4 linked regions of the Tamandua tetradactyla genome follow. The protein of the gene in region 1 purifies or fractionates together with the protein of each later gene. This does not show direct contact. Links are inferred from orthologs where the notes say so. Each region holds a gene or a part of one and is shown in the gene's direction. Other genes may lie near its edges.

Region 1 (7,716 bases):
GGCTGGACCATCACAGGAAGGGGCTTGTTCTCTATTGGAACCATAAAATCAAGCTGCAGATCAGCCCTGGATCTTTTTTTTTTTTAATTTATTTATTAATTTAAAAAATTAAGAACAAACAAAAACATTAACATATAATTCCGTTCTGCATATATATTCAGTAATTCTCAGTATCATCACATAGTTGCATATTCATCATTTCTTAGAACATTTGCATCAATCCAGAAAAAGAAATAAAAAGACAACAGAAAAAGAAATAAAACAGTAATAGAAAAAAAATTATACATACCATACCCCTCACCCCTCACCCCCATCTATCACTAGCATTTCAAACTAAATTTATTTTAACATTTGTTCCCCCTATTATTTATTTTTATTCCATATGTTCTACTCGTTTCTTCACAAGGTAGATAAAAGGAGCATCAGACACAAGATTTTCACAGTCACACAGTCACATTGTGAGAGCTATATCATTATTCAATCATCTTCAAGAAACATGGCTACTGGAACACAGCTCCACATTTTCAGGCAGTTTCCTCCAGCCTCTCTATTACATCTTGAATAACAAGATGATATCTACTCAATGCATAAGAATAACCTCCAGGACAACCTCTCCACTCAGCCATTGACACTTTGTCTCATTTCACTCTTCCCCCTTTTGGTTGAGAAGGTTTTCTCAATCCCTTGATGCTAAATCTCAGCTCATTCTAGGGTTTTTCTCAATCCCTTAATGCTAAGTCTCAGCTCATTCTAAGATTTCTGTCCCACGTTGCCAGGAAGGTCCACACCCCTGGGAGTCATGTCCCACGTAGACGGGGAGGGTGGTGAGATTGCTTGTTGTGTTGGCTGGAGAGAGAGGCCACATCTGAGCAACAAAAGGGGTTGGGGGTGACTCTTAGGCCTAAATTTTAAGTAAACCTGACCTATCCTTTGTGGGGTTAAGTTTCATATGAACAAACCCCAAGACTGGGGGCTCAGCCTATAGCTTTGGTTGTCCACACTGCTTGTGAGAATATCAAGAATTCAACTTGGGGAAGTTGCATAACTCCCTGTTCTCATCATTCCCCGAAGGGGGCTTTGCAAATACTTTTCCACTCACTGATCAAATCACTTTGTCAGCCCTGGATCTTAATGCAGGGGCTATTTGGATTCTTGATTTGGGATTCTTGCCCAAAGCTGCGAATTGGGGGAGATCTCATCACAGGGACTGTGTCCCCTCGACTTGCTTTTGGCAGATCAGACTCCACCTTCTCTGGAGATAGCTCACTGCTGATGTGTTCAGCTTTCCAGATTGCTTGCAGTTTGCAACAATGAACTGTTAGTCCCTCTGCTTACCTCCCCTTTCTCCCCTTACACACACCTTAGTGAGGTAGATTGATTATTAAAAGCAGCTGTCCTCAGAAAGGGAGCGCTCTTTTGCAGGCTGCTCACTGGGTAAATAATCAAGACAAAAGGGGTGGGAGGTTATGAAACCCCATTTTAAAAGTTTTGAAAATTAAGGATTTTGTCCTGACTAATTCCTGAATGTGTCTTTCTGGTTAAGTTTTGAAAAAATATTTTTCTGCCAAAATGCTTTCGTGCTTCTTGCACACACCTCTCCCCAAGTAAAGGCCTGGGTGAGAAAAAGGGATGATTGAAAAAAATATCAAGTTAGAGTTGTTGACTGGAACCCACTGGTTTTGTAACAAAAGAGGAAAAAAACCCAAAACCTGGCATCCTGGGAGGCATGAGGGAGTGGGGAGGGCACTTTTGATCTTTGCTTTTCAGTACTGTTCCTGGAAGCTTTCCCTTCTTTCTGAAGGAAAATTCTCAGTGCTGCCTAAGTGTTGTGAGCATTTCGAATTCCAACTGCTGAGCCTAGGGTCACACCTGGCAGCACTCAATGGGAGACAAGGGAGTGACCCTGTTCCTGCACTTTCATAAAGATACCTTCAAGTGTCATTCACACTCATGAGATGAATGAACACATATCGTGGACAAGCAAAAAATGCTTGTAACTGACTGCCTCAGTGCGCGCCTCTGAAACCAAGAGCTGAATTGAATTTTTTGCTTGATTGAAAACCCCAGGATGGAAGCCCCATAATTGAAGGCCACACTGGGGCCCTGTGAAGCTGAACAGCCCAACTCGTAGCTCTCCTGCTTGGGTACCTAACATTTGTAAACTGTGTTTCCAGGGTTACCATGTGTGTTCTCTGGGTTTGTACTTTTTGCACCCTAACTATCATGACACTGCCTTAGCCCTGGTATTCTTTCAGGTCAGCTTCAATTCATTGGCCTAAGTGGGCTGTGCACAAATTTATATCTCAGAGCAGGTTAAAAAAAAGCTTAACACAGAAACAGAGGAAATAACCTGCTTTCTAAGCTAGGCTTTTATGGTTAATGGGATTTGTTTTAACTGGCTAATTCCAGGAATCCTAAAGGGCATAACTGAGATTGGTGCTGCAGATTAGTCTCACCCTGCTGTGTTGGGGTCCTGCCTTAAAGAAGTCTTGGTCAAGGGCCAAGGGGATGGACTATGCAGAATAGAGTTGACAGGAAGCCTAAGACTGTTCTCCTTAGGGCTGTTTGCAAGACTGGCCCTTGGCTGGCATCTGGGAACTTAGTTTCAGAAAGGCTCTCACCATACTGTAAATGATAAGGGTGGCTCACTTTGCCTAAACTGTACAATCAATGTAGTTTATGCTGAGCATTTGCTTTCCTTCTGGGCATCTAGAGTTTTTCTCTGTGCTAGCCAGAGGGTGCCTATATGACAAACTCTCCAGAAAACCCTGGGTATGGAGCCTCTTTTAGCTTCTCTCGTGGACATTTTACATCTCTGGAAGAATTAAGCACATCCTGTGTGACTCCACTGGGAGAAGACTTTTTTGGAAGGTTTTTCTTGGTTTCCTCCAGAATCTGCCCCATGTGCCTTTCCCTTTGCTTCATATCCTTTCACTATAATGCATCATAGCTGTGAGTACAACCATATGCCCATTCCTGGGAGTATCCTAGTGAATCATCGAACCAAGGAGTGATCTTGGGGATCCCTGACACAGGGGCTTCTTGGTGGTGTTTACACAGGGTGTGTTCAGTTTGTGGGAACTCACTGAGCTGTGCAATTATGATGTATGCTTTTTCTGTAAGTATACTGCATCTCAATAAAAATGTAAAAGAAAAAGAGTAGAAGATTATACATCATGGGGATAAAAAACAACTTTTTAAAAACCTTCCTATTCAGCAAATATTTTAGTAACCCTTTTTAATCAGGTATTGCACTAGAAGCCTGAGACACAGGTTGAAAAGACAGCATGCCTCCCAGTTTAATTGGAAGGCAGGTGATCATAATGTGGTTGATTCTTGCTGGGTTCTGTCAGGGACATCATAGGGCTCTAAGGGAACACAGTGAAGGTACTTCTAACCAGCATTTTGCCATTTCATGGGTGTTCCACACAAGTGCTACAAAAGGCAAAGGGGAGAGGTGGAGACTTGTTGATTGGGAAGATGAGTAGGCCCGGTATTGCCAGAGTTTCACATTTTTTCAGGGAAAGCCATACGTGAATTTTTATGTGAGCTCTCATTTTAAATTCTGTAAATTCAACTTTTTTTTCTTTTAAGTGAGGCGGCCAAACAGAACACTCCTGCAGGTCAAATTCGGCTATGGACTGCCAGTTTGTTAGTCATTCATCCAGCCAGCCTTCCCTCTCTGAACAACAGGTGGAATGTCCACTATTTTAGGCACTGGAAAACATAGCAGTGAGCAAATCAGACTACTTTCTTGCATGGTGGGCACTCTGGAATGGTACTTCTCAAACTTCAGTATGTGGGGCGATCACCTGAGCAGTCTCGTTGAAAGGGATTCTGACACAAGAGGTCTGGGATGGGACCTGAAAGGTTGCCTTTCTAACAAGCTCCCAGCTGATGATGATTGCTGCGGGTCCCTGGATCATACTTCTGAGTAGCATTCTTCCATTCAGAGGGACTGTTTATTTGTAGGGGTTGGGGAAGGGGGGCTAAAATGACTTGTTATGGAGGTGAATTTGCCTAGCGAGCATCCGGTTTTTACTTAGATTTTAGCTTACATTTTGGTAGACGGAGTGGGAGGTGGGGTAGGTGGAGGAGGGTATTAGGAAAAGCTTCCTGGAGGAGGTGCATGGGAATTGCAGGAACTCCCCTAGCGGTCCGCGAAAGGAAGAAACCTAGAACTCGTCTCCTAGGTGTGGTTTCCCAGGCATCCCACGTGTCTGTTGCCCAAGCGTCCCGTCAATTAAGTTTTTCTTTTTTTTCGGTGCTGGGTAGGGGGTTTAAAGGCGGCTACGATACAGAACACTCCCATGGTGCCGCGCGGCGGGCGGGTTTGGATTTTAAATCCCCGCGGCCAATCAGTGGCGCGAAGGGTTTTGTAACGTTCCCAGCGCCGCGTTTGAATTCCGGAGAGGAGCAGGTCGCAGCAGAGCGTCCGCCCCTACCCTGCTAGGTCTGCTGAGCTACTCCAGGAGCATGAGTGCGGCGGGGACTGCAGGGAAGCTGGCGCGGGTTCCTGGCGAACCTGGAAAGGCCGGGGCCCCGGGAGTTGCGGCACCCGGGGCCACAGCGGCTGCCCCGCCGGCGAAAGAGATCCCGGAGGTCCTAGTGGACCCGCGCAGCCGGCAGCGCTATCTGCGGGGCCGCTTCCTGGGCAAAGGGGGCTTCGCCAAGTGCTTTGAGATTTCCGACGCGGACACCAAGGAGGTGTTCGCGGGCAAGATCGTGCCTAAGTCGCTGCTGCTCAAGCCGCACCAGAAGGAGAAAATGTCCATGGAGATATCCATTCACCGCAGCCTGGCCCACCAGCATGTCGTCGGCTTCCACGGTTTTTTTGAGGATAACGACTTCGTATTCGTGGTGCTGGAGCTGTGCCGCCGGAGGGTGAGGGTTACTGCTGGGGAGTTGGAACTGCTTGGGGGCCGGGAAAGGGCGCTCGGAGCCTCTGGGGAAGATGTTGTGGGAACTTTGAGCCAGGGAAGGAAAAGATCGCGGGTAGGAAGTATTGGCTGTTGGGGGAGGGGGTCCGATTAAGTAGAGCCGGAGTCGTTTTGCTGCTAGGGAAAGCGGCCCCTGGACACGAGGTGTTGCCCAGGGTGGGGAGAAGGGGCGCGGGTTAGGGATCGGAAGTGGGGATGGGAGAGTTGGTAATAGATGCTAAGGGAGGAGTCCTAGGTAAGGACTGGGGTGGACCCGGAGCTTCCAGAGTGGGGCTGAGGCCCGACTTCGGAGCTTCTCAGGAAGAGATGGGTCTGAAAGAGGATTTGGAGCTGCAAAAGGCCCGCGGAGGGCTACTGGGGACTCTGAGCTTCCGGAGTAGGGCTGGGAGAAGGGTCTCGGGTAAGAGGCTTCAGAGAATAGAGCTACCAGGAGACTGGGCTTGCAGTTGTCTTGGAGAAGGAATGGAGGTAGGATTGCGGAAAGGGGAGAGCCTGCCAAGACCCCTCCTCACATTTCTCTGCATGCACCCGGGGTCCAGATCCAGTCCTGGGCTGCCTTTCCTTAGCGACCCCTCCTAGCACCTGGACCTCAAGGCCTCCTCCCCATTCTTCCCCTCCTTTCCTGGCCCAGTCCCTGCTGGAGTTGCACAAAAGGAGGAAGGCACTGACTGAACCCGAGGCCCGCTACTACCTGCGGCAGATCATCCTTGGCTGCCAGTACCTGCACCGGAACAGGGTTATTCACCGGGACCTCAAGCTGGGCAACCTCTTCCTAAATGAGGATCTGGAGGTGAAAATAGGTGAGGTGCTGGGCCTCCACGGGTGCTGAACACCCCTGGAAGAAGGGAGATTGAGGAGGAGGTGGGGGAAGGAGGAAGAGGACAGTGGGAAGTCTGGGCTGATAATTGACTTTGGATCCTCTCTTTAGTCCAGAAATTTTAAAGAGCCCACAAGCCAGTTTCTTACCTGCCGAAGCATTTTTGTACCCCTATAAGTCTTTAAAAAATTTTTTTTGGAATTAGTTTCTGATTTTTAAACTGGGAAACTTGACATAAAAATATGTCCTTGGAGCTCCTTTTAAACAATTGGAAGCTCCAGCAACACGGGCAGCATTCCTTCAGGGCAGCCCTTTGCTGAGCTGAGAGCAACTGTCAGCTTTAGACTCCCTGTAGCTTGCCAGTCCCCACCCTTCCCTAGTCCCCAAGCTTGTTGCCTAGTCTAAGTCTTTGAGGTTACTGGCTTGAACCCTAAAGGCTTTTGAATTTTTTGTCCCTACCAAGCATCCTTTTAGACGCATAGCCCTCATTTTTAAGAGGAAGGGTGGGGCATGGGGCACTGGGAGGCACCTCCCTGTGAGGTGGGAGGATTTCTGGGCAAACCTCATTGGTTGTTGCAGGGAGTAGAGGCCTGTGGGATCAAATGACCCTGGGTCTTGATAGACACAAACAAGCTGTCTGCATTGACTGATGGCAGAGACAGGCATCCAAGTTCCCCCCTTTCTCCCTCTGTCCCAGGGGACTTTGGTCTGGCAACCAAAGTTGAATATGACGGGGAACGGAAGAAGACCCTGTGTGGGACTCCTAATTACATAGCTCCTGAGGTGCTGAGCAAGAAGGGGCACAGTTTTGAAGTGGATGTGTGGTCTATTGGGTGCATCATGTAAGTAGGGAGCTGTCTTAGGACCCACTCAGCCTCATCAGGGCCCCTTTTGGAATCTCACTTGGCTAACCTTATCCTGTGGATTATAGTCTAGTCTAAAAACAAAGTTAATTTCCTTATCTTTCCTTGTTACTCTGGAGTATCCCACAAGCTGGGCCGTGGGTCCAGAGAGAGAGGGTGGGGTAGCTGTCCAAAGATGTCCACCACCTTGCTATAGACCCTGGCTGCTCAGAGTGTCACGTGCAGACCAGCAGCATCAGTGCCACCTGGGAATTTGCTAGAAATGCAAGCTCTCAGGCCCTAGACCCGCTGGATCAGAATCTGGATTTTAGCAAGATCCCTGGGTGATTCTCACACACATTAAAGTTTTAGAAACACTGATCTATGAAGCAGCACTGAGCAAGAGGAATTAGACTGGGAGTTATTGCTGGCAGGAAGAGGTGTGTTCTCAGGTTAAGACCATCAGAGTGGAGTGGGGACTCCATGGTAGGCAGAGACCCGGGCCTTTTCAAGTATTATCTCTGTTTGTCGTTGCTGGTCTGGGTACTGGAGAATTAGAAATGAGTAGTAGCAATGACTTTCATACTTTCTGGCAATGGAGCTATTTTTCAAAATCTTAAGTCTTCTCTTCTGCATAGAACTATAAACGTGAAGTTGTTTCCATAGAAACAGGGAGACCATCCACTTTAATCTGTCTGTACGGCAGGTAGCCTCTTTACCTCTTCTGCAGAACCTTAGATTACTGTGGGCTCTAGTTGAGAAATCACTGGCCCATAAGAATTGTGCTTTTGTCATCTGTATTATCCTGAGGACTCATCCCAGCCACTGTCCTGGCTTCTGAGGGTGCTGAGTAGACGTAAGATCTATCTTCACAGATACCAGAGTGAGGGTCCAGACAATCCCTTGATTACATTCTGGTTTTGAAATTATTCCTCCTGCATCTGGGTTTTGGCTGGGAGCCTTGAGCCAAATCCTATTCTTTGCTTACAGGTATACCTTGTTAGTGGGCAAACCACCCTTTGAGACCTCTTGCCTAAAAGAGACCTACCTCCGGATCAAGAAGAATGAATACAGTATTCCCAAGGTGACTAACAGTACTTTATATTTGAATTTATTA
Region 2 (8,194 bases), on another chromosome or scaffold:
GAGATAGTTTAACTAGATTAGGGACAGCAAGAAGTTCATCCCCACCGTGGGGCTTAAGGTTTGGGGCTACTGTGGCAGAGGGCATGCTTGTCTACTGCTGTAACCACTGCCCAAGCGAGAAGGGAAAAGACAGCTTTTGCCTTTCCTCCGCCTTCTAATCTCACACAATTGTCTCATTTACAAAACCTAACCTAGAACTCAGTGGGCAAGGATCTAAGAAATGTTTTTTATCTTCTAGCCTCTGAAATACAGGGATTGCGATCCAACTAATGGTTATACGTAATTCATATTTGCAAGTAAGTTGCAGAAATGATATGTCTTTTTACCGCTAAATATTTTAGTGTTTCCTGAAAACGAGGACATTGTCTAAAATAACCGCAGTAAAATTATAAAAATCAGGAAATTAACACTGATACAATATTAATTAATTTACAGATATTATTAAGATTTTATCAATTTTTCCAATGCTGTCTTTTACAGCACTGCATTGCATTCACTTGTCATGTATCTTTCCTCTCCTCTAATTTTTAATCTTTCTCAGTTTGTCTTCCTTACATTTCCTGTTATATATTTTTTAAATGCAGGCCAGGTATGTTGTAAAATGTTCCTCAATTTCAATTTGTCTGCTGTTTTTCAAAATTAGGTTCAGTTTAGGCATTTTGAGCAGGAATACCACAGAAGTCCTGGTGAGATTAATGTTAATCACTCTAGTAAGATGGTGTTTGGCAGGTTTCTTTAGTGGAAGTTCTTATTTTTCTCTTTGTCATTATTAAGTATATTTTGGGGAGATACTTTGAGACTTTCTAAATAGTCTCAAATAATAGATACACCCAGACTGTGTATCTTTACTAGAATCCTATGCATCCTATTACTCCGCAAAGTTTTACCCACTCGTTTTAGCACTCAATGAAGTCTTGCCTGAGACAATTAGGATGACGATGATTATGAAGTTCATAAATATATAAATATATAAAAAGGAGCTTTTCCTTTTCCCTATTATTTATTTATATCAGTATGGAATCATAGATTCTTACTTTGTTTAGACGGCAATAGTCTGTTTTACTATCATTATGTATTTTGCTACTAAAAGTTTCCCAGATTTGGCAAGTTTAAGTACTTTCAAACTGACTCCATGTTCCCATATTCTTTGAGCACCTCCTTGCTTTCTGGCACAAGATGATCCAGCCTCATTTTTTACTTTTCTGCCCAGAATTAGCCATTTCGACAAGCAGCCCTATTTCATTTTGGCAGAATATAGCATTTCAAAACTTTGAATTAAAAATTGAGTTACCCTTGATACCTGATATGTCATTAGTCCTTGTTGAAGAAGTGGGAATCTCTGAGCTAAGGACAAAATCTTAACCAAAGAATGGTCATTATCAATAAGTTTTAAGTCTAGAAAGACCCAAGATTGCCTATTTGGAATTTTATCTTTCAGTCTAATGAGAATGGCTTCATTAAATTTACAGTAAAAACATCATCAATCTGGACATTATTTAGAATCTGGCATACCAAAAATGGAACTGCATTGTTATTTGCCTCAATAATCCCTCCTATTTTTTAATTACTTCTGTCATGGAGCAAGTGTCAACATCTATCACATTTACAAATACATTTCCTCCTTGGTTCAACAGTTTTCTTCTGTGAATCTGACAGTTACACCGCGCTATGGGGGCTGCTTAGAGCTACCACCCGTCTAGTTTCGCCTGGACGTGGTGTGGCTGCTGGGCCAGCCAAAGGGGCCTCATTAATCTGCTTCAGCCTTTTTCTTGGCTCTCTTGGTGGTGGGACCCAACCAGGGCCAGCACTGCCGGCAGCTGGCCCACTGGCCAACCTACCGAAACTGAGCTCTCCTCAGAGGTCCTAGTTACTTTCTATCTCTACAGTTTTGCAATTTCTAAACATCTAAGTGAGCTCATATGTGTCCTTATGATGCACAAAAGTTTTTAATTCTGATGAAGTCCAATTTGTTGTTTCTTTCATTATTCGTGCTTTTGGTGTCATATCTAAAAATTCATGGTTGAGGTGCAACTTTCTTTGTTTTTTTACATGTGGCTATCCTGTTTTCCCAAAAGTATCTGTTGAAGAGACTCTTCTTTCCCACTGAGTGGATTTGGCACCTTTGTCAAAAGTCAATTGGCCACAGATGTGTAGGTCTATTTCTGGACTTTTAATTCTATTTTATTGGTCTATTTGTCTATCCTAATGCCAATATCACACTGTTTTGACTACTATTGTTTGTAGTAAATGGTAAAATCACAAAGTGTAGGTCCTCCAACTTCATTCTTTTTTTTTCAAGAATGTTTTGGCTATTCAGGCCCCTTTGCAAACATGAATTTGAGGATCAGTTTTTCTACTTCTGCAAACAGTGCTGCTGGAATTTTGATAGAGATTTGCTGAATGTGTATATGACTTTAGATTGTGCAGTAGTTAGGTTCAGGTGTCACTTTGCCCAGCTGATTGTGCCCTGTTGTTCTATGGCTCAGGACTTAAATCACCAGCGTGTGGAATTCATGCATGGCCGATTCCATCTGCTAAAGGGTGTGTCTTCCTCAATGACTGACATCCAGTTTAATTAGCTGGAGGCTTAATAAGGGAGGTCAGAAGAAAGCTCAGCAGCTCAGACCAGACCTTTGGAGATGCAGAAAAAATTGCCTTGGGGAAAGCTGTTTGAACAGAAAAGCTGGGAGACAAGGCCAACAGACATCGCTGTGTGCCTTCCCATGTGAAACTCAGATGAAAGCTAGCTGCTTTTCTGCCAAAGAACTGTAAATTTGTAACTAAATAAATCCCTTTATAGATGCCAGTCCATCTCTGGTATATTGCAGTCCAGCAGCATTAGCAAACTAAAACAGGTAGTATTGTCATCATAACAATATTAAGTCTTCTAAACCATGAACATAAGATGTCTTGTTATTTATTAAGGTCTTCTTTAATTTATTTCAGCAGTGTTTCATAGTTCTCCATGCATATTTTTCAAAACCTTAGTTAAATTTATTCCTTTAGATGTTATTTTAAATAGAATTGTTTTCTTGATTTCCTCTTCAAATTGTTTACTGCTATCTTACTGAAACAGAACTGAGTTTTGCATGTTGATCTTGTGCTGAATTCATTTATTAGCTTTCATAGTTCTCTTGTAATTCCTTTAGATTATCTATATATAAGATCATGTCCCCTGTACATAGAGATGGTTTTACTTCTTTTTCAATCTGGATGGCTTATATATCTTTTTGTTGTCTAATTTCTCTGGCTATAACTTTCAGTACAATATTGAGTAGCAGTAGTGAAAGCGGATATCTTTGTTTTGTTCCCTATCTCAGAAGGAAAGCCTTTAATCTTTCACCATTGAGAATGATGTTTAAAAATGGCTAAAATTTAACAGACAGACAATATCACTTTCTGGTGAGGATATGGAAAAATTGGAATTTATCTATCTTGCTCAGGCAAGTATAAATTGTCACAACTAATTTGGAAACTGAAATATCTATTAAAGCTAAACATTTACCTATTCTAATATCCAGATAGTCCATTCATGAGCATAATCCAAGTGACATGATTATTTATGTCCACCAAAATATTTTATAAAAGTATGCATAGCCTTTTTATTCATAATAGCTCCACATTAGAAACAACCTAAATGTCCTTCAACAGGAAAATAAATAAACTGTGGTATATCCACACAGAAACACTACACAACAACAGAGTACAACTAACTAACATTACTTGCAATGCATGGATAAATCTCACAGGCATTAAGTTAAATGATAGAAGCCAGACACAAAAGACTATGTCCTGATATGTTTGTAGTTTAGAAACAGGCAAAGCTGATCTATGGTAATAGAGATCAGACTAGTGATTTTCTTTGGCAGTAAAGAGTTTGGGAAGAGACTTTGGAATGCCAGAAATATTTTATATCTTGATAAGGATGGTGGGTCTTTGGTTGATTACATACATAAAAATTCATCAAATGGCACTTAAGAATTAAGATGTTCATGTTAATTCAAGGAAGTTAGAACTCAATCAAGATTTTTTCTACATGAAGGGAAAAATGATGCATAAGAAAACAATTCCAAAAAATTAAATGTGAAATGGAAAAAGTTAAATTGAGCCATGCTGTAATAAGCACATTGTGTGTAAACACATTGTCCACCTTCGCTTGGAGGGCACTCCTACAACATGAGAGCTCTTCTGCAGATTTTGGAAGTGAGACAATATTTAATAGGTCCACTTATTCTTCAATGATATTTTTCCTCCTGGAAAGTTTTGGATTCATCTGCTTTCATTGAGCTTATAGTCTAGTTAAGCAAAGAACTCCTTTGCAGAAAAATGAAAGGTCCCTGATCCCCTTTGTAAAGTAAGGGACAATTTTAAAAAATTGGTGATGGTGGGTGGGGGTAGGAGTGGAGCATGGTTTTAAAATCCGCAGTGTGTTTTGTTTTTAAATTATTTTCATTTTTGGGAATCTTTAAGCAGTCTTTTAATTTCTAATTCCTTGGGAATTAGCCAATTGTGCCAGTTCACTTTTTTCTTTTTAATGTAATTTTATTGAGATATATTCACACACCATCCAATCCACCCAAAGTATACACTCGGGGGCTCACAGCATCATCACATAGTTGTATATTCATTACCACTATCAATTTTAGAACATTCTCATTACTCCAAAATAAAAAGTAAAAATAAAAAACCCAAACATCCCATACCCCTTGCCCCTCCATCCCCCATTATTAACCCCAGCTTTGTTACTGTCGAAAGAATATTAAAATATTACTGTTAACTATAGCCTATAGCCTTCAATAGCACACATTTGTTATAGTTCATTAAAAAACGGTTTTATATTTGTACTGTCAATCACGGTCATCATCCACAAGGTTCTCTCTGTTATAGAACCCAATCGTGTCTGCTCACTTTTTTAGCTCTTTTAATCTTATCAAACTAAGTTCTATTTCTGAGGATTTTATTTATATTATTCTGGTTTTGAATTTTACCATGCATCAGTCTGTTAGGAGTCAATGACCCACTGTAATCCGCAAAGGCTAAAAACGCGATTTGAAGGTTTCCACGGTTCTTAGGGCTTTAACCAAGCCCCGCCCAACCCCTCTCTCGCGAGACTTCGAACCGGAAGTGACATATCGCAAGCGTCTGGGAGTGGTGGCGGCCCTGTTAATGTTGGCGGGAGTTGCCCGAGTGTCCAAGTCTCCTCGCTGTCCCGCCTGGGCTGGCTGTGGTCTGGGGGTTGCCGAATATCCCTGTTTCGGGCAGGATGCGGGTGGCTGTGGCCGGCTGCTGCCACGGCGAGCTGGACAAGATCTACGAGACGCTGGCGTTGGCGGAGCGGCGCGGCCCGGGGCCAGTGGAGCTGCTGCTGTGCTGCGGCGACTTCCAGGCGGTGCGCAACGAGGCCGACCTGCGCTGCATGGCCGTGCCGCCCAAGTACCGCCACATGCAGACCTTTTACAGGTGAGGGGCGCGGCCCGGCCGCCGGTACGGCTCCGGGACTAGCCAGCCGGGAGGGAAGGGCCTGGGTTGGGTTCGAATCCCCTTCTGCCACCTAGCAGCTCCGTCTTCTGAGTTCTTGGATCTGTTGGCGCCGTCTCCCCAGGGTTGGGCGCGCAGAAAACGTCACTTTCCTTTTTTCCATTCACTTTCCTTATCTGTTTCATAAAGGATCGCAGACGAGGGGAATAAAGTAGCACCCGGCGGAAGAAGCTGTCCGCTTTAAATATCTACCTAGTGCTTGATAGGACTCTGGGATTAGTTTATTTAGTACTCCGGGAGTTTTTTAATTGAATGCATGCTATGTTGCACGTTCCGGTTCTAGAAGCTGAGGTTATTGCAGTGTACGGGACCAAATTCTTGACGTCAATTGAATTTACACTGGCTTGAAACTCACGTGGCAGCTCTTCATTCTTAAAGACATGAATGGGTACTGTGCAGTTCGTCTAAAAAGGGCTTTTTTGATTAACTCAGCTTTTTCATGTTGACTTTATTTTGCCTGTCTGCTACGCCTTATGAGGTAACGGACAACTTTACCCTTATGTTCCAGGTATTATTCTGGAGAGAAAAAGGCCCCAGTTCTCACGATCTTCATTGGGGGAAACCATGAAGCTTCAAATCATTTGCAAGAGCTACCTTATGGTGGCTGGGTAGCACCAAACATTTATTATTTAGGTATGTGTTCTTGGCAAAGTTTTTGATTTGATGATATGGAAGAGTCTGTCAAGATTTGTATTGTCAGTTAGGAAGCATCTTGAAATGTGTGATGTGTTGGAGAATGTCACTTAATTACATAATCATGACAGTCTAATTAAATAGTAATTTAAATAGTTAATCATGAAAATATATTCATGTTTTGTTCAGTGATTACTTTTTTTTTTTTTTTTGCATGGGCAGGTACTGGGAATCTAACCTGGTGTCTCCAGCCTGGCAGCCGAACTCTGCCTGCTGAGCCACCATGGCCTGCCCTATGATTACTTTTTTAGCAATGATTAATTTAACTTTTAAGATTTTGCACACTATTTGAAATTCCTTTATTTTTTTGTTACTTTTTATTACATTAAAAAATAAATTTTTTATAATGGAAATTGTTAAACCTACACAAAAGTAATAAAAACCTACTTTTTATTACATTAAAAAATAAATTTTTTATAATGGAAATTGTTAACCTACATAATGACCCTCTGTACCCTGTCTAGTTTCAGCCACTATTGTTCTGCCATCCTTGTTTTTAGTGTCCCAGCCCCACCCCTCCAAGCTGTTCGTGTTTGTGTGTGTGAGTAAGGGATGATTGGAGCACTTTAAAGCAAATCCCAGCTGTTACATTATTTGATTATTTCACCATTTTATTTCATCATATTATTTACATATGTCAATATAAATTTCTAATTGACAAGGCTTTTTAAAAATACCACAACTACAATGCCATTATTATACCCAACCAAACTAAACAATTCCTTATTAACTGTTGCCTAGTTTATATTCAGATTTCTCTGCTTTCTTAAAGATGTCTATTTTATAATTGATTTGTTTAATTAGAGTCCAGTTAAGGTCCACCTACATTTCATGTGTTTGTTCCCCATTCCCTTTTTTCTTTGCTGTTCATTTATTGAAGAAAATAGGAAAATAGTGCTGTAGAATTTCTTGCATTCTGAATCTAACTATTAGATTCCTTAGGTTGCTGTTTGTTTGTTTTGTTTTGGGGTTTTTGTTTGTTTGTTTGTTTGTTTGTTTTTGGCGTGGGCAGGTTCTAGGAATTGAACCTGGGTCTCCAGATGGCAGAAGAGAATTCTGCCACTGAGCTACCATTGCCCACCTGGGTTGCTGTTTTAAGTTTTCCTTTCATCCACTGCATTTCCTGTAACCTGGCATTTAGGTTTAGAGGCCTCATTAGATTCAGTTTCAATTTTAGAAACTACAGTCCTTTCTTCTCTTTATTTAAATGCCTTATTTGAGAACAGTTATGGGTTTTTTCAATGAGAAATCATAACTTCAGAAAGTCATTTTCTCTTCTTACTGATTGATCATCTTTTGACACTTGCAATATTGTCAAAAGATGAAATTGTCAGAAGCTAATCAATTGGAAGTGAATTATAGATACTACAGGTTCTTTATACCTTATGCCTGTTGACTTTTAGATGTATAATGTCTAAGTCCATCATAGGACATTTTCTCCTATTCCTTCACTCACATATTCAATTAGGTTCCGGATTGTATCAATTTTCCTCTTAATATCCTTTCTCACTTGTCCCTTTCTTTCTGGTTAGTCTTTTGGTAGATCTGCCTCTAGGTCTCCCTTTCTACCTTCTTTGTGTACCTCATAAGCGGTTGACTTATTACTATGTGAAAGAGTAAGGTCATCATGATACATATTTTCAAATAATTTTAAGACTGCATGAAGTTCAAGCCTTTAATTATGTCATTCATTTAGTAAATAGATTGCTTTTGCTTACAGCAATTTTTATTTAACGCTATAATTTTTCAGGTTTGGCTGGTGTGGTAAAATACCGTGGTTTAAGGATCGGTGGACTCTCTGGTATCTTTAAATCTCATGACTATCGAAAAGGTAATGTTTTTCAACTTTAGAATTTGCGTGCCCCTGAGTAGCATAAGCATAATGAATAATTTGACTATTTATTTTCATTGAGTTTCTTTGAACTGGCTATTCTTAGCTTTTCATTATAATGTATTTTATACA
Region 3 (7,839 bases), on another chromosome or scaffold:
AAACATTTTTCAATTGTTGCTTAAATAGAAGGGTCGGGGAATATAAGTTTGTTTGTTTGTTTTTGGTGGGGGGAGCTGCACTTTCTAATTTTACACCCTGGGTCACATCCCAGTTTATAAATTTCCTGCGACGTTACAAACATCTCAGCCTGGTGTTGAAGTTCTCCTTTTGCCATCTCAGGACTAATCTTATCACTTGCTCCCCAGTAGGAACTCTCCATCCGGTGAGCTCATCTCTTCACTGTCCCCTGAAGACACTTTATAGATGAATGTCTCTATAGACCCTGTTTTTCTGCCTGGCCTCCTCCTGCTGTGTTATTTATTCAAATCCTTTCCTTTTTAAAAGGCCACCTCAAACCTCACCCCCTTGAAGACTTTCCTGACCAATCAGCCCCAGGGATTTTGGGCCTTTCCTTCCCTCCCTGCCTCTCACCCCTACGTTTGGATCACACTCTGTCATCTCATAACCACTGCAGTTTTTAAGTATATGCCTCGCCAAGGATGTATACCTCTCTTACGTCCCCTGCTACCCTGAGAAATGATCATAGCAGGGACACTTACTTAATGTTTTCTACTGCCTTTGGCCAGAAAGCTTATTGACCAAAGGCTGTTGAATGAAGAAATGTTTCACACCTCAAATACTAAGCAGTGCCAAGAAATACAACTATAAACTTTAAGATTATCAAGAATAATCTGAATGAGAAAAGCAGAAAATGGTTATACCATGCAGGAGAGATTAGATGGATCTAATAAAAAATATGAAGGCTGGCATTACAATATGTGATACCTTCAGAATAACCTTTCCTATGGGACAAACATTCCAAATTGTTGTTTTATTTCTTATGCAGTAAAAGATCACAATAAACCAAACCAGACAAGTAGTGGTAGAGATTGCTATAAAACTGTTGATATTCTCACAGTTAATACCAGTTTCCATTTTGGAAATCATGTTAATAATTTCTTCTACTATTATGAAACCTTACTGTTTATAGGGCTTTCCATCTCATGATATGCTCAAACAACTCCATGAAGAAATTAAGATGCATTTCCTATTTCTTTACCAATGAGGAAACATAAACAATGAAGTTGAGAGAGACGCCCAAGGTCACAATGTTGGAGTCTTCAGACTTTAACTCAATTCTCATTACAATAATTAGCCCATCTCCAGACACAAAGTCTATCCAATTGTAGTATAATCTTTTCTCTTACACTAGCATCATTTTTAAAGAAAATTCTCCAATCTTTAGCATTCTTTTTATGTCATCAATAAAACCAGAGGCAAGCTGTATTTCTTGGCACTGCTTAATATTTGAGGTGTGAAACATTTATTCATTCAACAGCCTCTGGTCAATAAGCCATAAAAAATGAATGACGTTCTGATACATACTACAACATGGATGAACCCTGATATGTTGAACGAAATAAGCCAGAAACAAAAGGACAAATACTGTATGATCTCATTTACATGAAATAACTAGAATATGCAAATTCATAGAGACAGAAAGACTGGCTGGCTGGGGTGGGGCTGGGAAAAGGAGAGTTAATGCTTAATGGATACAGAATTGATGGAAAATTTTGGTAATGGCTGGTGATGGCAGCATAAGATTGTCAACAAATCACCTTCAAATTCTATAGTGAGAAGTGGTTAAAATGGGAAATGTTATATTGAATATATGTTACCACAATAAAGAATTTTAAAAAATAGGCAGAAAAATAAGAAATAATTTTACATTACAGTTACTTATCTACAGAGAGCCATTGAGAATGACAGGACTGGAAGACTCAAATCTTTTCATTTTACTGAGAGAGATCTTTCCTGGTTTATTGGTGCCACATTTACTGTGAATTTTCACATCTATTCTAAGTCATAACTCAAAACTTCTGATTGACTCATTTTCTAATAAATGCCTCCTTAACATTATGGAGACATTTAGTTGTTGGGAACTTTAAAGCTCTCAATATAAAATTCAAGCTGAAAGAAAATTAAAATACCCAAATTAGAAGTTGGAAGACCTGAGTTTTAATTCTTTTCTTTTTCTCAGAGAAATCACTTAATATTTTTATTGCCACCTATAAAAAGGGGTAATGAATCCCAACTCTTTACACCTTAGGGATACACAGAAAAATGGAAAAAGAATTTGAGCATTTTGGAGCTAAGTGTTATCTGATGGTAGGAAGTCATTATCTGTGATTAATGTTTAATATATTATTATTTGTATGAAGATTTGTGGTTTTTTTCCCCTGTCTATGTATCTCAAAAAGTTGACATCCTCTTCTCTGTTGGCTATACTCAAGGAAGGTTTCCTAGGTCTTACTGCTTTATGACCTACACAAATTATTTCCCTCTCTGAGCCTCAGTTTCCTCACTTGTAAAATGGTATCCGACTCATGGTTGTGGGAGAGATTAAGTGGGACTATGCACATGCAGTGGTTAGCATGGCAAAGCTGATATTTCTCACCAAAAGCAAATTAATTTTCTCAATTTCAAATATGTGCTCAAAAAAATTTGCTGTTAATCCATTTATATCCCATCATTGTGTAATGGAAAGATTACTGCGTCGGGAGTATGGGAGAGATCCTTCCTGGATTATTGGTGCCACATTTACTGCAAATTTTCACATCTGTTCTAAGTCATAACCCAAACTTCTGATTGACTCATGGCCATAGTGATAGCAAGTTACTTAAATCTCTTTGTCTTTAAATGAGGGGGTGAGATTAGATATCTCTGATATAACTTCCAGCTCTGAAGTTCTGTGGTTTAGTGTTTTTAAAAAATATATAATTTATATTAAAATCGAGTTTCAATAAAATTAACATAGGAGGTATCTCATGATTTAGCAATTTGTATTTTTATTAAATCTATTTCAGATGAAAATTTTATTATGAAACGTTTAAAACGTTTAAACGTTTAAAATATGGAAAGGTATGGGAAGTGATACATGCACTGTCAATCATTTTAAGATAAAAAGCATTTGTTTTTATAGATTTGGAAATATTGTGGGTGAAGTGTATTACATTTAAAGGTACAAAAATAAGATCGAAACCTCAGCTAAAAAATGGAAATTCCTTTGGATGCCTATTGTTGCTGGAAGAAAGGTATCTTAATACCGTGTGGCATGGGTATGATAATAGGTAGAGGCCAAAATAGAGAACAAGCCTCTCTTTTTAGGAACATTTCATCTAATTGAAATGGGATGAATATAATTTAGCAACATAAAACATGGACCCTGAATTTGAGGTGCATCTCATTTGTAATTAGAAGTCTTCCATGGAGATCCAGGCATGGTGGAAACACCTCTCCACATAGAATTGATTTGGGTTCAAATACTAACTACTTTCCTTTCTATGAAATGCATTTGGGATGCCAGCTTTTTTTTTTTCTTCTTATGTTTGGTCTACAAACAATGTGTTATAGAGTTAGACACGAAATTCTGGTAAATATCAGCAGTCCAGTGGGACCCAAGTTAATATAGAAAAGTCCCTTTGGAATCAGAGAACATTTTACATTCTAGATAGAATATGAGATACAAATGAAGTAGTTACTTAAGGTACTGCCTTTAAATTGTTGAGTGTAACTGTGCCAGGTTTTAGAGAGTGCATTTATGATGCATATTAAAACCACTGTGACATTCAAAGAGTCAAACATGTCTGATTAGACTTTCATATCCTGTATTTATAAAAAGCTAAGTGATGCAGCTCCTCAGTACAAATTATTTAACCTATGATAAATTGTAGAGGAGGATGTATTATTGTCGTTAGTTCTCCTTTCTGCTTATCCCATTTTCATAAGACTGACGGCTTTAAAGTATTATCACCATCACAAAAAGCATTACCTCCCCCCTCCGCCACTACACACTATCACTGAAAGGAACAAAAAGTGCCTGCCCTATTCCTCTACTTGTATTCAATCTTGATTAACCAAGGGAGGGGACTCTCAGAATTAATGAAGTTCAGATTTGGGACATTTGGGGCGGGGCTTGGGCCATCTCGGTAAAACAGAACGTAAACACCTTCTCCCCCCAAAACAAAACAAAACCAAACAAAAATCAAAGGCGATGCTGTTGCTTCTATCAGCAGCTCCGGCTCAGACGCTGCACCGAGCTTGCGGTCGTAAGCTCCCAGCTTTCTGGGGCCGGGGCGGAGTTCCCCGGGTCGGGCCCAGCCCTGCGCTCCCAGGACTTTCACCTGCTCGGCGGGCGGCGCCGGCGGCGCGGGGGGCGGACCCGGCAGCGGGCGGGGCCTCTGCACCCGCGGGAGGAGCCGGCCCGGGCCCGCCCCGCAGGAGGAGTTGCTCGCTGGCGGCTGATCCGGCGTCTCCGTGACAGGCGCCCAGCTCGGCCGCCGCCGCCGCCACCTTTTCTTCCCGGATCGGGCTGCCCGCACCATCGCTCCGGGGTCGGCTCCGCGCCTCGTCCCGCCTCGGGCTGCGGCCTCGCGTCCGCCGCTCCCCTCCCCCGGCCGGGGCGCCGCGCCGCCCGCTCCGGTCGCCGCCTCCGCCGCCTCTCTCCTCGCCGGCCGGAATTGCGCGGCCACAGTGCGGCTCGCGTCGCCCGCATCCGCGCCTCCCGCCCGCGCTTGGCCCTCGGCGCCGCCCGGGGTCCCAGCTTCAGCGGCCACCTCGCCGCCGGGACGCCCCTCGCCCCGCGTCCTAGCCCGAGCCCGTTGCGCGCGCTGCGCGCCCGGCTCCCGCTTCCCTTCCCCGGGGTCTCCCCAGCCTCTTCCTGCAGCCGCCGCTGCCTCTGGAGGAGCGGGTCCACCTCGGGTCACCATGCCCAGCAAAACCAAGTACAACCTTGTGGACGATGGACACGACCTGCGGATCCCCCTGCACAACGAGGACGCCTTCCAGCACGGCATCTGCTTTGAGGCCAAGGTGAGGGGGGCACGGGCAGGGTATTGCCCGCGAGGGGCTTGTCTGAGTGGATCTGATGCACAGCCATCCTGGAGACAGCTAGAGGACTGAGCTGGTTAGGGGGCTTTTCTGTTAGGGTGGGTGACACCCCTCCTCAGCATAATTCCACGGACTCCTGCCTAGAACTGCTAAGGAGCAACTAAAGTTTGAGCGGTAGTGCTTCGCCCTCTTCCTCCTACCTGCAGACTCCCCCTTTCTTACCCGCCAAAGGATTGGATTGAATTACTTCCCGATCCTTCGGGCGGGTGAGCACAACCTGTACTCTGGTCCTTGAGGATAGGGAAACTCTGCTGTTATTTACCTGCTGGGCTCCCGTGGGAGAGGTGCTTTCAGGAATGGAGCCCGCTTCCTGATTGAGGAAAAGCCTTTTTTCCTCTTCCAAGTTCAGGGGTGCTTCTCTAGAGTCTAGGTAGGGTCCAGATGTCAGTCACTTCCTAAATGCTTGATTTATCAGGACTCCTTTGCAAGTGTGGGGGAAGTGCTGCCCATTTGTTGGTTTTGTGGCTTGATGTTTAAGTTTCAGCTGCTAACAGAGAACTACTGTTGAAGAATTTAGGAAGGATAACTGGAATTTTCAGTGCTCAGGCCAAAGCCCCAGGTTCATCTTTGGGGCGGGATAGGGGTATGGGGCTCTGAACTGGCCCATCAGGTGAATATGTGATGTCCCTCCTGGCAGAATTCCAGGTGGGCTTCCTGTGGGAGAGGGCTCCTCCCTGGCAGTGTTTCTGCTCTTCCTTCATGCCTCTTGAAACCCCATTACATAAACATCAGGAACTCAGCAACTCCTGTGTGCCTGCCACTGATAATCTTTAAAAACTGCTCCTTTTAAAATATTGGGTCTTGCTGGTTTTAAAACTTTGTAGTTTTGGCGTGCAGTCAGTTTTACCCTTCCCTTTTTCTCTTTCACCACTATGTAGATGCAGGGTGTTAGTATCTCATGCAGAGATTATTCCATCAGGTGTCTCTCTATTTCCTTCAATTCAAGAAACATTTTTCCAGTGCCTGATATGTACCTGAAGGTGTCAGTTATTGTAAAAGTTTTTTTCTTCTCAAAGACGTGCATGGATTGGTGAATCTTACTTTTTTCCCTCCGAATAACCTCTCCCCAACCGTATTGACTAGAGCGTAAAGACCCCTCCCCCCCAGACATTAGACACGGCCATGGAATTCAGAGCTCAATTACTGGATATAGTTGGCATCAGAATGGGGCTGCAGCTGAGATGTTATCTTGCTTCTCTGGATAGATCTGGTCAGCCTAAGATGGGATGTTTGGGTTGATTTTTGTCCAGTCCTGTTGATTTGGTGAGCTTATTTTTAAATTTTAAGGTAGGAGTTTTCATCAGGGTCATGATTTAGCTTTCTTGGAGATATTTATATATGTACTGGGAAATCGGCTCTTGCCTTGTTTGGTTCACCAGTGCTCTGTTTTGCAAGAATGAGAATAAGAAGGGAGATCCAATTTAAAGTGTTTTTAAGCTTTCTTATTTATTCACAAGTTCTCTGCAAGGTCCCAGCTGAGGGTACAGAAGTGTGTTAGGAGAGGATATTGAAAATTCACATTCCTTCTATCGCCCAATTCTAATTTGGTGGGATCTGGGGGCAGCTGAGTAGTGTGTGCCTTTAACAAGCATCCCAGGTGATTCAGTGGAGGTGATTGGGACCAGACTTTGATAAATACTGGGCTTGGGGCTGGCCTCCACCTTGCTCAATCTTACCCTTCCTTTCCTAGCACCAGGTGTGCAGTTTCTTCTCTAAGCGAATGCCTGGGAGTTGCACGCTATAATTCCTACAGTGACTTCCCAGGATTCACAGGCAGTGGTGTTTGATAAGAGGAGAGGGACCACATTTGCTCCAAGCTCTGTTCCCAGTGCAGATCTAAGACCAAGGATTCTGGTCTGAGAATGATGAGGTAGAGAAGAAACGGCAGAAGGGAGGTGGCAAGGCTTCCTTGGGGAAAGTCTGTCCTTGAGGACCTGAGTCTTAACTTCTAGCTCTTGGTAATCCGTGTTGGACATCAGTATATCCGAACACCGTGTCATCCGCGTGGCGGATGAATAGAGGTGGAAGCAAATGCTTTTCTGTTCTCTGCACACCATCTGACAAGCACCTTCTCTGACTGGTTTCCACATCCCAGCAGAGTACGCCAATGGGCTGTGCAATCACTGGGACTTTAGGGTTAAATCCATATCACACTCTTTCCCTTGTTTTGGAAAAGCGCAGGCTGTAAAATGCAAATATATTAAATCGCCTCCTTGTCGAATGCCCTTGGAAAGTGAGCCCAGATCTTTCTCTTCCGAGAACTAGCAGTTTTTCATAATCAACACTGGGTGAATGGAGTGACCCGTTGAATGTATGCCACACATTTTCAGGTTTCTGCTAAGATTGAAAGGTTAGGATCAGGACTGAACGGCCTCTGGGTTCTATACATGTAAACACACAAACACCTGTGCGTAATCATCAAGCAGACTCCTAGATGAATTTCACCTGTGGTACCTCATTTACTATCTCCGAGGCGGGTCTCCTTGTGTTTGTTTTATAAATGAGGATATGGGTTTATGGAGATTATTGCCTGCCTTAGTGCACACAGCTGTCTATGGCAATGCCAGGTTTCAAGTCCCAGGAACTTTGACTTCAGACTCCTAAAATGCAGTGCTTATTCATTTAATAAATGTGTGTGGAGCACTGCCACCGTGCTGGGTAGTGGTTTGATTCACAGCTCACGGTGGGGCACCCTCAGGTTGCTGGCTCCTAGGACTCTGATGTAGCTACTTATTCAAGCCTGTACTGCTGGGCTGTTGCCAGATTTCACGTTGGCCTGGGAGTGGCTCACGAGGGTGAACTGCTTCCTGCCTTCACCTGGCTCCTGGGAGGTACTGGGGGTGGGGGTGGGGAGTGCTGGCGAGAAAGTGCTGGTTACACTTCGATCT
Region 4 (7,830 bases), on another chromosome or scaffold:
TTTCTTTTTTATCAGTTTTTTTTTAATGATGTATTTTACATACAGTACCATTCACATCTTTTAACTATCAGTTTGATGAGATTTGATAAATGTACACATTTATGCAACTACCACCACAGTTAAGATATGAACATTTCCATCACCCAAACAGTTCCCATGTTAGCCCAACTTTTAGGATAATATCTTATCTGGGGATTTCTGGACCACGTAGGTAGGATAAAGTAGAAATGTGTGAACCCCCTAACTGCATGTGGCTTAGATCTAAATTACAATTTTTCCAAAGAGATTATTTTTTCTAAATCTGAATCCAGGCAAAGGCAACCTTCCTGTTTGCTGGTAGGAAGATCCCTCTTCTTCCCCACTCCCTCCAGTCTTTCTTTGCTGGTGTAGTTCTTTGAAGGCTCTGGCATTTCATGGGTGTCTTAGTAACAACTTCTTGCTTTGTATGGCCCTAAGACAAGTCCTGTACCTGCTGGATAAATTCCATGGTTAACAAGCTGCTGTGCCTAGTCTCAGCTGCCAGGTTTAGTACTTTGGTTTTTTAGTCCTCCCTCTTCCTCCTTTTCTGACACACAAATTTTAATGAAGTATAATTTACATACAGAAACGTACACAAATCATAAATAAATAGTGCAATACCTTTTCACAAGTGAACACACCTGTGTAACAAGCACAAAGCTCAAAAAAAAAGAGAACATTACTAGAAATCTAGCACACTTTCCAGTTACTACCACTTCCAAAGAGAATCTTTATCCTGACTTCTATTAATTTAGCCTAGTTTCAAATTTTATATAAATGAAATCATTCAGTATATACTTTTTTGTGTCTGGCTTTTTTTCACTCATCATTGTGTTTGTAAGGGTCATTCATGTTGCTTCATGCAATTCTAATTCATTCATTCCCATTGACTCATAATACTTCATTACGTGAATATAACAGAATTTATGATCTAGCCCACTATAGGTTGATATTTAGGTTGTTTCCAGTTTTCCTCTTTGCTTTTGGACCCTGGGATTTCCTTCTATTTTATTTTGCCCTCTGCTGTACATTTAATAGGATTTAGAAAGTGTTTCCTGGTCACTATTTCTAGATGTTCTGTGTTGGGATATTTTAGTTTTTGTAGGCTGCCAAATCTCCAGTTACTCATATGGTTATTTTTTTTGCTGAAATTCTTATTTGATTCTCACCTGACTTACCTTAGGTGATGACTGTGGTTTGTAGAAATAGTTTGGATTTCTGTGAACCAATAATGAGTGATAGAAAACAGGAGAACAACAGAGGTGTTAAGCTATATAATTGATCTTGAAGTCATGATCTCTTGCCGGGGGAGATGCTGGTGAGCAAAGTTAGTTTGGCATTAATGGATGTAAAATATGGAAAAAACAAGTTAAAGAAATAGGGGTGGCTGAAGACAGTAATTGTCAGAGGTGTGGATATGGTTGTTTGGGTCCAGGATCTTCTGGCTAGTTGTCACCAAGGAGACGAAATGAGAGAGACACTCTCTTGATGACTCTGTGGTATGTAATCAATGTGTTGCCAGAAAAGCCACTCTAAAGCGGACCTGCTTTTGCCCTTCAAAAGTAATTGCCCTACTAGACATGTGATTCTCAACCAGGGGCATATTTGGCAATGTCTGGAGACATTTTTGGTTGTCATGATTGGCGGCACGTTACTGACATCTAATGTGTAGAGAGCCTAGGGAAGCTGCTAAACATCCTAGGATGCCCAGCACGGCTCCCGCAACAAAGAATGATCTGACCCCAAGTGTCAGTAGTATGGAGGTGGAGAAACCCTGTATTAGGTCTAGGTACTAGATGCAGCCTCTAAATCAAACACGCATTTAAATAAACACTATGAGCTATCTTTTAGGAAGTGATAACCCCACAATGATATATTCTTCTATTTTTCCATCAAAATTCTGTGATAACTAGTTTTGTGATAACCAGCTCACACTTAGCTCCTTTAATTCTTTTCAAAACCCTAACAATGGCTCTGACAACCACCAATCCATTCAGAGTTTGAAGAGAATCACTCAGATTGCACATTTATGTAAGTAGATATGTACAGCAATTTATTTATAGCTATGAAAATCATTGTAATTTTATTGTTGGAAAAAACACCAAAGTTCCAAGGCTATAGGGTGAATCAACTGCAAAGATGGCACTAAACAAATAAATATTTTGCTGTTATGCCTTAAAATTAGATTACAAGGTATTGTTTTCCTTTGTTTTTCTAGTTTTTGCAGCTCGGATTTAGTACAAAGCTAAATTTCATTGTTTCTTCAATGGAGGTGATTATCTAAATTTGCCCCTCCTTCCTCCAGGCACCACACACTAACATCTATTCTTCTGATTCATTTCCCCTAGAAAGCTGCAAGGGAGTTTTATAATGATATTATTGGTTTTGTAACTGGTGATTCCATTGTAATGCTATTACTGAGCCAGTGTTGTGATAAATGGTCTGTTTATAAGGGGAATCACTTTTACAAGAAATAGAAAATTAGACACACTTCTGCTTTGCAATAACATTAAAACCACAGTGAAAAAGAAATTCTCCGGTTTATTCCCATCTGTAGCAGCAGGGAAGCCTTAGAAGATGGCTTTCTCCCTAAAGTCTTCTAAACATGATTACTGCCTACACATACCATGTCAAAATGCAGATTTCCTCCAAATCCTATTCAAGACCAAAGCATTCTTAAGCTTACCATGACGTGGGCCCTTTAAGAAAGCCAGGCGCTTCAAACTCCACCCCCTCTGCTGACTTGAAGCAGTCAAGCTGCCTTTTTGAGGCAGTTAGTTAGTGATAAAGCTGAGAGGGCGCCAATTTGCCCCCTGCTCTGCGGGGAAGGAATGTTCCTGTTGCTGTAAGCTCTAAAAGTGGAAGCTTTAGCTACTATGGGATAGGGAACAATAGAAACATGTGAACTATGGAAGCTAGACCCACTCTTAAGATTCTTTCACGGTGCTGAATAAAGGGGAAAGAATGTTGTTTAATCGGAGCTTTCCCCTGCGGTGCTGCTCCCTGCTAGCTTTACTCTTCCATTTCACACGGCCAGTGAGTTTTCTAGAGCCGTTTCCAATTTAACAAGCTGCTTATATCATTTACCCAAAAGAAAAAGCTAGGAAGACATGTAAGTTTCAATGAAAATTAAACCAGTTCACTTATAACAGAATTATTTAGATTCGCTTTGTTTCTGAAGCACACAGCCATATTTTGGTCACACCAACAGGGTCTAAGTTCAGAAGTCCTCCAGCAGTAAACTAAAAAACAGGAGAAATTTGGGATTTAATTGCAGTTGGCATTTCTGAGCTGTCTGCTAGGAATAGCCACCTCAGTAAAAGATGATGTCATTTGGAACATTTGCAATTTAGAGTTTATTCTGAGGTACCAGTTTCCATTAGCCACTGAATAATGGTTTAATCATTACATCAAATTTAGGTGCAACGATAAGGTAGGGGATAAAAATCATTAAAGCCATTTCTTTTCCTTCCTAACATTTTTATAAACCTTTCAAAAAGCTGAAAGCAGTAGGCATTTTTTTTTTTTTTTTGCATGGGCAGGCTTGGGGAATCGAACCAGGGTCTCTGGAGTGGCAGGCGAAGCAGTAGGCATTTTAAACAATTGTTTTATTGGTAGTATTATTTTTTCTCTTTTGTGTTTCCTGTGTTTGTTCTTTCTTTGACCAAGCTTGGAAACTAAAACTAGTCCAGCCAGTTTCACTTTCCAATTTTTATACATAAGTGAAAGCTGTTTTTTTTTGTGCCAACAGTGTGGTATTTAGAATCAAATCACCTGCTGGGCCAATTTCCCGCAACTGGTTTTTGGGAGGGGGAGGGGAAATAAAATTTGATTAGGAATTTCTTATGCTTCAAAGCTAGAATCCTGTATTAGACCATATTAAAGTAATTAAAGTTTTTTTTTAAAAGCTATTAAAGTTTTCTAAATAAGGGTAATGATCATATTTTCTTTCCACTTGACCATCACAAATTTGTACAGCAGAATGCTATGCTTTCATTTACTTTGGAAATTTGGCACTTACATGTGTTTCAATATTTACACCAGAAGTGTTTCTCTTCCCTTTCTGACTTTGAATTAAATAACTGTTAGTGTCTTAATCCTTTTGGTTGACATGTGTTGATACTGTTTGCAAGATGCACAAAGAAAAAAAAATAATTCTAGCTTGCTTAAATAATTGAGCGCTGTGTAGGTTTATGAGATTAGGAGGAATAGAGAGGGCGATGTGCCTCTTCGGCAAATTCTTTTTTAACGAGGTTAGCCTGTGTCTATTTCACCCTACTCTGCTCCTTGGAGGGGAACGTTCTGTTCTCTTTGCTCCATCCAAAGCTTCTCAGCCAGTACTGGGAAGATAAAACTGCAAGGGCCGCGTTGATGTGTGACAGACAGAGGGAGTTACCCGCACACACAAATCGGCGGAAGATGGGGCCACGACACGACCGGGGCTGGGTGCAGGAGCCAGGCTGACCTTTCCACGTGTCCTCAGCACCTGCGAGGCTGGTTGGGCATTGGGTTTCTCTTTCGCCGGAGTAGGCGCGAGCCCGGAAGAGGCTGGGCTGCCGTGGTTTAGGTCAGGGGTCTCGGAGGCCCTCCCCCAGACCACGTGCGGACTTGGAGCTGGTGGTTCGGACGCTGGCCTGGCTTTTCCGCACCCGCAGTGCCCCCACGTCAGCAGCTCGCCTGCGGACGCCAGGAGACGGGACGGGACTGCGGGCGGGTTCCCGCAGCTTTCCGCAAGCCTTGTAGAGCGGCCTAGCGAGCGCGCCAGGCCGGGCTGGAGCGAGCCCCAGTGCAATACTGCCCGAGCCCGGGCGGGGTCTCTGTTCTCTGGCAGAGGAGGTCCCTTGGCAGCGGGAAGCTCTCTCTCTTTCTCTCGTCGCCGCTCCGAGTCTGCGCCCTGGTGCCAGGCGCTCAGCTCGGCGCTCCCCTGTGCTTGCCCGGCGCCCACTCATTCGCAGCCCAGCCTTCGCCGCCGCCGCCTCCCTGCTCCTCCTCCTCCTCCTTTCCCCAGCCCGCCGCGGCCATGGCGGACAGCGCCAGCGAAAGCGACACGGACGGGGCGGGGGGCAACAGCAGCAGCTCGGCCGCCATGCAGTCGTCTTGCTCGTCGACCTCGGGCGGCGGCGGCGGCGGCGGTGGCGGCGGGGGAGGCGGCGGCGGAGGTGGGAAGTCCGGGGGTATTGTCATCTCACCGTTCCGCCTGGAGGAGCTCACCAACCGCTTGGCCTCGCTGCAGCAAGAGAACAAGGTGCTGAAGATCGAGCTGGAGACCTACAAACTCAAGTGCAAGGCGCTGCAGGAGGAGAACCGAGACCTGCGCAAAGCCAGCGTGACCATCGTGAGTGCTCCCCCGGGGCGCGCCGCAGCGCCGACCTCCGCCCGCCTCCGCGAGCGGCTGCATCCCAACCCGGGCAACCCTATAACCCCCACTCCCCAGGCTCCTGGGGATCTGCAGCGAACAACTCCTCGCTGAGACCTGCCCGCGCCCGGAGAGGAGGGGGGTGGTGTCTGTTGCGGGGGGAGAGGGCATGTGTCCTTTAGGTGGCCATGGGGGTCTGCCCTTCCTTGTGGTCCGGGTCCCTCGCGGGGTTCGGGGAAAAACAGTTGGGGCAATCCCCGACGGTTTCTTTTCGCCTTTGGGGAGGAGGCCGCTCCGGGGCAGGGCTGCAAGCTGGCGGCGTGGCTGGGGGGCGGGGTGGGACTGCTTCAGTCTTAGCTTGCCTGTGGGGTGCGTCCGGAATCTAGGGGAACCCTAGGCTGGGAAAGAGGGAAGAAGCATGGCCCTGTTCCAAGGGCCTGGTTTGAGGTGCGCAGCTGGGCTGGGCACTCAGCTGGTATCTGGACGGCTCTGGCGGGATCGCCCGGGGGTGGGGGGTGGGGTGGGGCGGGAGATTGACCGGGAATCCGGGAAGTGGAGTTCTCTGGTCAGGATCGAGAGAGAAAGGCGGGCACCGGCGCTGGTGCACCCTCCTCTGTTGGAAAACCATTCCTTTCGGGGCGGGATATATATACGGGAGAGTACAGCATCCAACACTGACCTAGACAGCTGAGGCCGAAACCAGAGTGAGGGGTTGCGGCTGCGACTGTCTTGCTGAGCAAGCTGTCCGTATGCTTCCTCATTTGGTGGTGGAGTGTGTAAAGGTATATTACCTCCGAGTCCAGGTACTCGACTGAAGAACAGGCCATCTGTTTTCACCTGGTCCCTGGAGGCTTCCCAGAAGGGTAAGGTTAGGTCTGTAGTTCTGTCTGTAGTGGGCTGTGATGAGGGGAAACATAACTGGAAAAAGTACACTGTGTGCTCTTAACATCCCTGCCAGCTTGCCACATCATTAACATGCAGAATCCTCATACAGACAACTCTATTCAGATCAAAACAGCCACCCATCCAGGAGCAGAGAAGAAAATGTCAAGGAATCAAAGGAATAAATTGCCTTAGCTGCTGGACAATAGCTGATTAGGTGGATTCTTCAGATGAGAAAGGGGAGAACTTTTAGTATGGATCAAAGGTCACGGCCTGGAAGTGAAATAGGGCAAGTTTAGGATGACCCTGTGCCAGGAAAGGGTCTTGAGTGGAGGAGTATGTGTGTTGCCCCAAAATGAGCTTGTGCATGGGAATTGGATGGCATTCTTAATTCGTTTCGAAAGCAGGTTTTCCATCGGAATTTGCTGGCAGCAGCCTAATTAGGAATTGATTGTAGAAAGGCACTTTGTATGTTCGAACCCAGTCCTGGTGAACGGAATTAGAGCAACATTCACCCATATCAAGACTATTAAGTTTCTGAAGGGCCCTTAAGGTAGCAAGGGGGAGGAATTTGCAGAGGCAGCCTCCAAGCCTCTTTTGTAGGCTTTCTTGACTGAGAGAAATATCTCAGCCTGCTGGGATCTTGAAAAGAGGGAAACGTTGATGTTGCCAGTTTATTTAAGGTTTGAGTGAGTAAATGAGAGGGTTGCTCTCTTGGAGAATTTGAACCACCAAAAAGTAGTGAAACTTTCCTGAAACAGAATCTCTAGCCTCTTGCCTACAGCCAGCAATTCAGGCTGTTTTTGTTTGTCTGGGATGGAGGAATGGCTGGTGGGGGGTGGAGATGGAGAGATTATGAAAGGGTTATCTGTTTGACACTTTGACCATACTATAAGTAGGTCTGTAAATTGTACACAAACATGTTGGCTCTGCACAGTCAAAACACGTTCACTCCTGGTATAAAAGACCAGAGGCCTTCTGAATACGTGGATTGAGAAGTGTGTAAGGTGATGGCTTTATTTATTTATTTTTTTAGCACTAAACCTCAGCTAAAGTTGACATTTAACCTAATACACTTTGTGAAGTATTCTGTGGCTTTACATTAAAAAAATGTTTTGGATGACAGCCTAACAAGTACCACTACTAGAAGCTTCTTAGTTCTTTTCTTATCTCTAATTAATATATTCAGGGAGACAAACTTGTGGTTCAGCTGGGTCTCCTAGTACTGGGCAGGTGTTGGTTACTAAGGAGCTGTATGACAGCTGCAGAGAAAAGAGTTCCTGCAGGCATTTAAGGATTTTGTTGATTGACTTAGGATCCAGAGTGTGATGGGATTGGTTTTCAACCATCAGGTATGTAATTGGGGAGGAGAAACGTGCAGACTCCATGAAATGGGTTTGTGAATGTTTGAGTCCATGGAACATGATTGTGGTGGTTTATGTCAGGGTTAATCTGCGGCATCCCTGGCACCTCTCACTTAAAAACATTACCCTTGCTAGTAGCTGCCTAAGCTGTTTATCACATTGCCTAGATAATCAATTAAGTGAAGGCCTTGGTAGATTTTTCATTGTTAC

What was found.
Region 2: the proteins of PLK1 (region 1) and DBR1 purify together in Homo sapiens (affinity purification with mass spectrometry; 3 studies listed by BioGRID and IntAct, with this or other methods). This does not show direct contact. The link is inferred for Tamandua tetradactyla from reciprocal best matches to the Homo sapiens genes PLK1 and DBR1.
Region 3: the proteins of PLK1 (region 1) and NOS1AP purify together in Homo sapiens (affinity purification with mass spectrometry; 3 studies listed by BioGRID and IntAct, counting the BioPlex papers as one, with this or other methods). This does not show direct contact. The link is inferred for Tamandua tetradactyla from reciprocal best matches to the Homo sapiens genes PLK1 and NOS1AP.
Region 4: the proteins of PLK1 (region 1) and CCDC6 purify together in Homo sapiens (affinity purification with mass spectrometry; 3 studies listed by BioGRID and IntAct, with this or other methods). This does not show direct contact. The link is inferred for Tamandua tetradactyla from reciprocal best matches to the Homo sapiens genes PLK1 and CCDC6.

What each region holds. Positions count from the first base shown.
Region 1 is NC_135349.1:33,375,303-33,383,018, reverse strand, and holds the start of PLK1 (serine/threonine-protein kinase PLK1), read left to right. Parts: upstream 1-4,366; 5' UTR 4,367-4,476; coding exon 4,477-4,884; intron 4,885-5,571; coding exon 5,572-5,740; intron 5,741-6,454; coding exon 6,455-6,599; intron 6,600-7,589; coding exon 7,590-7,683; intron 7,684-7,716. UniProt on the Homo sapiens protein: Serine/threonine-protein kinase that performs several important functions throughout M phase of the cell cycle, including the regulation of centrosome maturation and spindle assembly, the removal of cohesins from chromosome arms, the inactivation of anaphase-promoting complex/cyclosome (APC/C) inhibitors, and the regulation of mitotic exit and cytokinesis.
Region 2 is NC_135341.1:82,103,799-82,111,992, reverse strand, and holds the start of DBR1 (lariat debranching enzyme), read left to right. Parts: upstream 1-5,105; 5' UTR 5,106-5,263; coding exon 5,264-5,460; intron 5,461-6,046; coding exon 6,047-6,171; intron 6,172-7,981; coding exon 7,982-8,062; intron 8,063-8,194. UniProt on the Homo sapiens protein: Cleaves the 2'-5' phosphodiester linkage at the branch point of excised lariat intron RNA and converts them into linear molecules that can be subsequently degraded, thereby facilitating ribonucleotide turnover.
Region 3 is NC_135330.1:15,203,259-15,211,097, forward strand, and holds the start of NOS1AP (carboxyl-terminal PDZ ligand of neuronal nitric oxide synthase protein), read left to right. Parts: upstream 1-4,682; 5' UTR 4,683-4,768; coding exon 4,769-4,873; intron 4,874-7,839. UniProt on the Homo sapiens protein: Adapter protein involved in neuronal nitric-oxide (NO) synthesis regulation via its association with nNOS/NOS1. The complex formed with NOS1 and synapsins is necessary for specific NO and synapsin functions at a presynaptic level.
Region 4 is NC_135339.1:37,348,655-37,356,484, forward strand, and holds the start of CCDC6 (coiled-coil domain-containing protein 6), read left to right. Parts: upstream 1-4,414; 5' UTR 4,415-5,038; coding exon 5,039-5,353; intron 5,354-7,830.